2 linked regions of the Nothobranchius furzeri genome follow. The protein of the gene in region 1 purifies or fractionates together with the protein of each later gene. This does not show direct contact. Links are inferred from orthologs where the notes say so. Each region holds a gene or a part of one and is shown on either strand. Other genes may lie near its edges.

What was found. Proteins that work in one complex are often made in the same cells at the same time.
Region 2: the proteins of lrwd1 (region 1) and orc4 purify together in Homo sapiens (affinity purification with mass spectrometry; 3 studies listed by BioGRID and IntAct, with this or other methods). This does not show direct contact. The link is inferred for Nothobranchius furzeri from reciprocal best matches to the Homo sapiens genes LRWD1 and ORC4.

What each region holds. Positions count from the first base shown.
Region 1 is NC_091750.1:30,550,437-30,554,860, reverse strand, and holds the start of lrwd1 (leucine-rich repeat and WD repeat-containing protein 1), read left to right. Parts: upstream 1-1,463; 5' UTR 1,464-1,535; intron 1,536-1,931; 5' UTR 1,932-1,943; coding exon 1,944-2,047; intron 2,048-2,206; coding exon 2,207-2,441; intron 2,442-2,914; coding exon 2,915-3,034; intron 3,035-3,220; coding exon 3,221-3,367; intron 3,368-3,460; coding exon 3,461-3,553; intron 3,554-3,694; coding exon 3,695-4,033; intron 4,034-4,187; coding exon 4,188-4,305; intron 4,306-4,424. Other genes in the region: alkbh4 (alpha-ketoglutarate-dependent dioxygenase alkB homolog 4), read right to left, coding at 1-511, 594-782, 1,073-1,237. UniProt on the Homo sapiens protein: Required for G1/S transition. Recruits and stabilizes the origin recognition complex (ORC) onto chromatin during G1 to establish pre-replication complex (preRC) and to heterochromatic sites in post-replicated cells.
Region 2 is NC_091743.1:85,852,390-85,856,702, forward strand, and holds the start of orc4 (origin recognition complex subunit 4), read right to left. Parts: upstream 2,818-4,313; 5' UTR 2,744-2,817; intron 2,220-2,743; 5' UTR 2,214-2,219; coding exon 2,157-2,213; intron 2,086-2,156; coding exon 2,009-2,085; intron 1,676-2,008; coding exon 1,585-1,675; intron 1,485-1,584; coding exon 1,409-1,484; intron 1,336-1,408; coding exon 1,250-1,335; intron 1,174-1,249; coding exon 1,125-1,173; intron 1,045-1,124; coding exon 893-1,044; intron 818-892; coding exon 644-817; intron 1-643. UniProt on the Homo sapiens protein: Component of the origin recognition complex (ORC) that binds origins of replication. DNA-binding is ATP-dependent. The specific DNA sequences that define origins of replication have not been identified yet.

The DNA.
Region 1 (4,424 bases):
TTCCTCCGAAGCTTAAAGCAGTAGTCAACAGTTCAGCTCCCAGCTTCGCCTGCTTCCCTCCAAGGAGGAACTCTGCAGACAGCTCTCTGTATGTGCTGCAGACCCTGCGTTCATGAATATCCTTCCTATGAATTGCATGTTTCCACCTATGCCTCGCCTCGCCGTATAACACAACTAAACACCTGCGAGGAAGTCGTACAGCAACCTGGACTTCCTCTGAAAGTCCCAACTCTGGCAGACCCTGCTCAAGAGACATGGTGAGCACAGTTTCTGATAACATGTTGATGGTGACCAGCCGCTCCCCCCACAACCAGGAGTCATCCAGGTGCGGATCAATGGCTGAGCCTCTCTCCGGAGCGTAATCCAGATTGCACTGCTCCACTGGTTGAAAGCCCGCAAGATTTGCATCTTGCTGCATCCGCAGCACCAGTTTTTGGCTTAAAGCAGGAAGTCCAGTAAAGTCTGCGATGCGCACTTTTCTCTTCTTGAAGTTTACTTTAGGGCCAAAGTCCTGCAACCGTGTAAAATGAAAAATTTGAATGTTAAAAATATGTAACCCACAAAAAAGTACATTTTCATTAAATGTTTTCCACCTGTTTCCTTCGGCCAGACTGTGAGGGATGCCACACATCCTGGTCCATTACGCTAATCAGCTCCCTCTCCTCCTCCTCTGATATAAAGTTCTCCCACAGGAAGACTCCAGAAAAAGGGAAGGAAGAGCCCTCTTCATCTTCGCTGACAGCGAGCCCCGTCTTGGCATTATAGAGGAAATGATGCACAATCTTCATACCAAAAACAGAGATAACATTAATAAACAAAAGCTGTGATGACATGTTTTAATTATAAAATTTCATTTCACAATAAGTAAAGATACATGCCGTCAACATTTAAATAAACCAGGGTTGTATCTCATTATTTAAATCAAATTTACAACATTGTACCAGAATATTGTCAGAACAAACAAGAGTGATTTTTGATAAACAACACAATTTGTCCAGTGAGGGCTTCCGTACCAAGGTTTACAGACGTTACATCGCACATTAAAACTGAGATTTTTGTTCGACACACGTACCTTTGACTCTCTTGTTTCAAGCAGTACACTCGCCTTAAACGTTTCACAGACAAGACAGCGTCGGATGCCTTTACAAGCGCATGGAATAACCCCGTCGCCGTCGTCAGAGACCATCATCATCATGTTGCATCTTCTTCTACTTGGAAATCGTAGCTCCACTGCCATCTAGCGGACGGAGCCGCAGGCGTAAAATTACTTCTTTTAACCCCTATTTTCGTTCTGCCGCACTGTTATTGGCGCATTAAAATTTCAAATAAAACAAAATATGACAATACTTAGTAATATATGTGATAAACAAGAAATATAATAATCGAAAGTCGTATTTGTTTGACTTGTCTTACAGCCAATGTTCAGGGTAAACTGTGGCCAAAGTTTTAGGTAAACCACGCCCACCGGATGTAGACGGAGTTTCCCCGGGAAAGGTCAGTTGTGTTGCAGACACAAAAGTTGCAGAGAGGAGTTGGTAAGTAACATAAAAAATACTTTATTAAACATTATTAAAGGTGTTTGCTCATTTGTTATGGCTAGAAAAAGAGTCAGTTATATTACTAACTACTAACCTAGCAAAGAGTTGATTAATCGATCGTGTCAACGTGGTTATGCTAGCTACTGCTAAAGTAAAACCAATCGAAATCAAACTAACAGATTCAGTTTTACCTTGCTGAAGCATGAAGTTGATTTGGTTATATTAAATTTTTCTCAGTAAAGATGTCACTTGGCAATGGCATCGTCTCTTTACTAAATGAAAAAATGCTAAATATTTAGCTCGTTTTAAGTACAGACATTATTTAAACTTATCAGGCCATACAACTTAATCAGTGAGTGCGAATAAAAGTTTAACATGTTATTTTGCTGATAGATTCCACATTAGATGTCCTTTTCCAGCAGATCAGCTATGGAGAATGTAACAGAGAAGCTTTTACTGGAGAAAGGTTCTCCAAAAACCAACAAACTGGAGCAAATCAAAACTCTGAAGTAAGTCTTCCCCCTTGATTAACTATTTGTGTGTTCTGGTGAAGTCACTCTTTTATCAGTTGATGACTAATCGCATTTAATAGTAAAATTAGTTTTACTTGCAGATATGAAGCTTGATCTAAAATCCCCATGTTGACTTGACGGGTTTCTTCTATTTAGTCTGTCTAAGATGGCGCTGAAGCACGGGGATCTTCCTGTGAAGCTGCTATCCCGCCTGCAGTCCCTGGAGCGGTGGGATCTATCCGGGAACAGGCTGCAGGAGCTTCCAAAGAACCTGAAGCTACCTGCACTTCGGTACCTGGACCTCACCAACAACCAGATGGAGGATGTCACCACCTTAGAGTCTCTGAGCAGCTTGGAGGAACTAAAAATGGATGACAACTTTTACATCACAGTGAGGACTTGGCTGTTTTTGTCGCATGTAATCCAGTACCGTTCCGTCTCTGTTATAACATAAAGGACGGAGCTGCCTTTTTAAAATTCAAACTATTCGATTGGTCTTATTTAAATGAGTGGTTTAAGTATAATTTCTGTCTTTGAATTCATCTCAGAACTTTACAGAATCGTAAAACGTTACCGTGGCATCTTTTGGAGTCTGGTTGTTACATGTGATGCAGTTTTTCCACCCATGACTATTTTACCGCGACAATATCCACATGAGGTGAAAAAAACAAACCAAAAGGAAGTTTTCCTCTAACGCTGTCATCAGATAACTACTTCAACAAGTCTAGATGTTTTATTAGCACGTCTTTTTGTTCTCTGCAGCGCTGCAGCTTTTCCTTTTTGTTAGATATTCCTTTATTTTTGTCTCAAACTTTAAAATTCTCTTTTACAACTGAGATCAAGTCCTGACTCTGTTATTTTTAGATAAGTGATAGTTACAAGCTGATGGTGTTGCTGCCCAAACTGAGGATTTACAACAACAAAGATGTCAGCACCACTGCCAGCCACTTACGATACGTGTTCAGTGACAACCTGAGGACCAGGGTATGAAAACCGTTTAATACTTTCGTTTGAAAACATTCATGATGATTATTCATTAGACTTTGAGTTAAGCTGTGGCTCTCGATTGCATCACACCTCTAATGTTGCATTTTAAAAGGAAACGACCCAGCTGCTGCACTTTCTCATCATATCCCACACTTGGGTCACTCAGCTGCTGCTTGATTTCAGATAGTCACAGTTTGGGAGCGGAGCTTCAGTCTCCCAGATCCCATCACGGCCGGCAAAATGTCCGATCTGGAGAAGAACTTTGTGAACGCTGCTCGTCATCAAGTCAAATTTGGTCCCAGTTCAGTCAGCGATTTCACCAAATGGAGGGCAAGTCCTGAATTTACAAGGATCTCTGGGACTTTTTTGCTAATTTTCATCCCTTTTTAACAGTTTTGTTTTTACTTCCTTTTGATTTTTCAGGTGGAGATTCTTGCTAAAGAGCATCTGCGCTCACTGACACAACCAAAAGAAGACTTCATCCCCAAGGAGTCTGCTGAGGCCACAAAGAACTGTGTAAGATTGCTAATCAGCACCTTTTATTTAAACTTCACTGTTACAATACTGTCATTGGCACAAATGGCGTCTCTAAATAAAACTTCTTGCTGTTTCTGTTCAAACTGGGTCAAACATTTTACTCTATCTTCCTTTTCTCAGATAATTTCCTCGCCTTCCAAGAGGAAACGAACCAAACTGGTGACAGATGATAAAGTAATTTTGACGCCTCACAAGAAGTTGAGAGTCAACGCTCTAGAATCTTCAGCTGCTGAAGACAGCCCTCGCAAGTCCCGCAGGGTCTCTCTCCGGACAGACGGGGCTGTCTCCACTCCCACCAGAGGACAGGCGAGGACAGAGACGCCCAGGAAGAGGTCTAAATCACAGCAACTCGAAGAGGAAGAAGTTCGGGTTGAACAGAAAAAAGAAGTCAGCAAAACCAAACAGCTGCACAGGAGTCAGTACACTCTGCCTATAATAAAGATTTGTACTAAGAGTCAGGTAAAGAAACACACAGATGACTCCTTTAGATGCTGTAGAACCACAAAAACATTCCAGTGTCGTCGTTTATTCCGTACAAGACACAATCTTGTCAGACAACAACCCACAGGGGTTTGTGTTCGTTCTCATCCGTCTCTTGTGTGTGATCCTCCAGCAGCCGGTGCATCTGAAGCCTCTCCACGTGCTCCAGTGTCACAGTAAACAGGACAGCTCCGGGGACTTCTCCACGCAGCTGTGGGCCTGCGCTTTCCAGCCTCTGTCAGGCTCCTCTGGTACTGATGAACCCCTCTGATCCACTCAGATTTATCAGAACAAGTCCTCCGTGGTTTACAGCAACAGCTGTGTATGAAAGCGGATAGCTAACGCTTTACTAGAGTTGTTTGTGAGGCTC
Region 2 (4,313 bases), on another chromosome or scaffold:
CTACCTCAAGTGGAGGAGTTTAAGTATCTCGGGGTCTTGTTCACGAGTGAGGGTAGGAGGGATCGGGAGATCGACAGGCGGATTGGTTCGGCGTCTGCAGTGATGCGGACGCTGAGCCGATCTGTCGTGGTGAAGAGGGAGCTGAGCCAGAAAGCCAGGCTCTCGATTTACCGGTCGATCTACGTCCCAATCCTCACCTATGGTCATGAGCTTTGGGTAATGACCGAAAGAACGAGATCGCGGATACAAGCGGCCGAAATGAGTTTCCTCCGTAGGGTGGCCGGGCTCAGCCTTAGAGATAGGGTGAGGAGCTAGGACATTCGGGAGGGACTCGGAGTAGAACCGCTGCTCCTCCGGATCGAAAGGAGTCAGTTGAGGTGGTTTGGGCATCTGGTCAGGATGCCTCCTGGACGCCTCCCTGAGGAGGTGTTTCGGGCATGTCCTGCCGGCAGGAGGCCCCCGGGTTGACCCAGGACACGTTGGAGAGGTTACATCTCCAATCTGGTCCGGGAACGCCTTGGGGTCCTGCCGGAGGAGCTGGTGGAGGTGGCCGGGGAGAGGACGGTCTGGAGCTCCCTAGTTGGGATGCTGCCCCCGCGACCCGGATAAGCGGAGGAAGACGACGACGTGTGGACGGGCTCACCGTTATGCTGGCATTCCACTCCTGAGCAAACTTCCTGTCCGGGAAGTCGCCCGGCAGGCTGAGCTGCGTTTGGACACGCTCTAGGTACTGAGTGAATGTCAGGCTGCTCAGCAGGTAGATCTGACGGTGGGAAAACCGCGACTTCACCCGCTTCTCCAGCAGCTCAAGGACATCCTAAAGAGAACGAATCAAAGCTCACATCCTCTGACTGAATGGTGGGAGATGGTAAACTGGTTTTCTCAGACTCACCAGTCGACACGTGAGGCCGACCACAGCGATGGGCGCCTGGGCGGACTGGGAGACGTCAAACAGGTTGTAGAGCAGGGTCTGGTTCTTATGATGGGCGAAAAGGTCAAACTCCTCCAGAACGAACAGAACCGGACGGCTGCTGCTGCGCTCACCTTCGGGAGACCAAAACCAGCACTCGGCACTGCTTATAACAGCTAAACATTCACATTTACAATCCGTTTGAGAAACTAACCTTTTTTCAGTGCGTCCAGGAGAAAAGCTAAATTTTCTGCAAAACTTCCCTGAAAATGAAACCAAAACAACGTTTTTGCGTGGATTCTCTCGCAGGAACAGCTAAAGCTCTGTGTGAAAACTCACAAACACTTTGTCACCAACGACATTCTCCAGGTGGAGTTGTCGGGTAATTTCTTTCAGGGCTATTCTGTCGTCTGTCTGCAGCAGACCTGCAGCAAGCACAATACATCTCAATATCTGGTTCCAGCAAAAAGTCGGATTCAGAAGCATTTTTTAGATTACCGTTGAGATGAACCTGAAGGAGGTTTTTGTGCACTTCTGTTTCCTTCATCAGCTCCCTCAGCACACACTTCAGCAGCTACAAAAACTTACCGTCAATACGTGGCAACCCTTCCAGAATTTAAAGCTAATTAATCATATTTTAAGTGTTTGTTACGTTTAAGCCTGTAGAGACTCACCGTGGTTTTTCCAGCTCCTCTGGGACCGACTATTAGCACAGAGTTACTCTCCCCGTGGACAGCCGTTCGTTTCAGCAGCTCCGCGAGGTGTCTGCAGGCACATAAAAACATAAAACTGCTTCGACTAACAAGTGAAAACTGTTAAATCTTCAGAGTTGCAGGTGGATTTGAGTTGAAATCAGCTGGGAGCTTTTATCCTACTGCAAACTGGGACAGACCTGTCATCCAGGCCTGACTCAACTGGGTCATCTTACGTAATCTGAACCCCGAGTTTTCACTTTATCACTAAAAACTATGTTTTCAAACATTTTGCACATAAAATTATTTATTCTTAAATTATCCTCAGCAGCAAAATAACTAGAAACCCAGCAGAGTTCATCTGTTTAATGATTTTTGTGTCTTATTTAAAAAAAAAAGCACCAACTTGTGTTGAGCTTCCACTCCCTGTGGTCTGTCAGGGAGCTGCTGATGGCAGAAACGCCGCCTCAAAATCTGATGAACCTGCAAATAAAAGATAGATTTATGTATTTTTGCACTTAAAAGTCATAAATGAGTGTTTTCGTTAACCACACCTGGGTGATGCATTCTCCTACAGGCAGATGGGCATCTTTCACTTTCCTCTTGCTCATTATGAACTGTGAAACATTGTAAATGTCAAACATTAACACTGCAACAGTGTAACCAATTATATGCAGTTTATTAAGTTTTCTAGTAAACTCAGAAACCTGTAATTTAAGCGTTTGTTCATAAAATAGATGCACTTTCAAATACGTATGCTCACATGACAGCTTAGCTTCTAATTGCCCATCATTTTATGGTAAATTGCTACAAATTACAATATAATAAAGATTTCAGTGAGTATTATATGCGCCGAATTAATAAACAAATACTTTTTTACAGAAGATCATTCCAAGTTGGCTCGAATTTGCTTCATATCAGTCAGAAAGGAGGAATTTATACATTTCTTTTAACTTCACCATTTAGTTTGGCAGCAATTATGTCTACTGGTCTCAGCTCGTGTCCAGTGCTCTCGGCACGAGCCAGCTGGCTCTACGTCATACACTTGGTGTTTAAATCAGGTCTGTTTGAAATTAAATTATGTTGTTTCTCAATAAAAACGTGTACACGAATATAGTTGTGGTAAATATAGATGGCTTACCTGAGATTTCGTCGTGTGCAAACCTTCGCGGGAACGCAATGATGACGACTTCCTGCTTTGGCTGGATCTCCTTCCTGATTGGCTGAGACAGAAACAAGCAAAATAAAGCGAAGATGAAGTTTGAGGTAAACGGACGTAAGAATGGATGAATGCGTAAAAGCTGCACGTTAAATTAAAATAAGATTTCATAAATAGCTCTATTTTTTCCAATTTTTTATAACCGAATAAGAGATACGTATTTTAGACATAAAAGCTGTAGAAGTTTGAATGTTGCCCCCTACTGGCATAAAAAAGAGCTGAATTACCAAATCAACATCTTTTAACATAAAAACAAAATACCGTATTTATACTTAATTATTAACTATCTTGTTTAACAGTTGTACAAAACGTTATAAAGAAAAAAATGTTTTTCGTAATTTAGTATATTTGTAAAAACATTTAATCCTGAATAATTATTTACTTTTTTCAGGTTTTGTGATCTTGCCCTCTCCATTGAGAAGTCCTGAATAATAATAATAATAATAATAATAATAATAATAAATTAATTTACACATGTTCTAACTTTTGGTAGTTTTTTCATAGTTTTAAACATCTATCTGCTGAAGTTCATTCTAAGCTTAGACAGATTTCGTGCTGCATTTTTACAGTGATCCTGTAATGTGATCCTTTGGTGGGAAATGTGCTGTGAACAAAACACCACAACAAACTTCAAAATGTTATTTTTAAAAATCAGGATGAAACAATATACCCAAAAAAAGTCTATTTAGTCAATGCATTAGTGTTTTAAAAATATTTTCTTATATGAAAATCATGTCAATACTTAATTTTTAATGGCAACACAAATAAAAGAGACACAATAACTTGCTTATGTTGTTTAACTTGCCTATGTTAAAATCTAAATCACTTTTATGTATTTTATTATTTATGTGCATCTAAGGTTTTTGGCTATAATTGGGGTAATTTTAGCGTCTTTGAGCTAGCAATATTATTTGCCAAAATGTTAAAAATTAACAATTTTTCTGTGACATTTGTAAATCAGCTTTGTTCAAATATTCAGCTGAGTGTCTGAGCTGACAAAAAATATTTTTCTGCTTCACTCATTTATCTTCTTCTCAGGTTGGACCTTCAGAGCTGAGCTTCCGTGTATTTTGTTGATCTTTATTAGCATTTGTTTTAATTACGCTATCTTAGACTATGTATTCTCAATTTTAACATAGTTTGTTTTTATTCAATATGTTATTAGCTGTTTTTTTGTGAAACCCTGTGTCTTACATAAACATAATGTGTTTTCGGTAAACTTACTAAAAGTGGTTTCCTACACCAAAATAATTAATAAAAAATTTCTGTATTATTTGTGTTTTCATGTGTCCTCATGTTTTTGTGTATTATAAAATGTTCTTGTTGTAGTGAAAATGTTTTGTGTTTATTTACATTTTATGACAGGCAAATAACTGTGTAGTTTGTGTTGTTTATTTTTGTTGACTTGTGTCCAGTGTCATCGTCTCCAGCTGTTCCAGGCTCCTGTTGGTTTCATTTCTAACTTTTTGTTTACCTGAACGCCTCATGTATG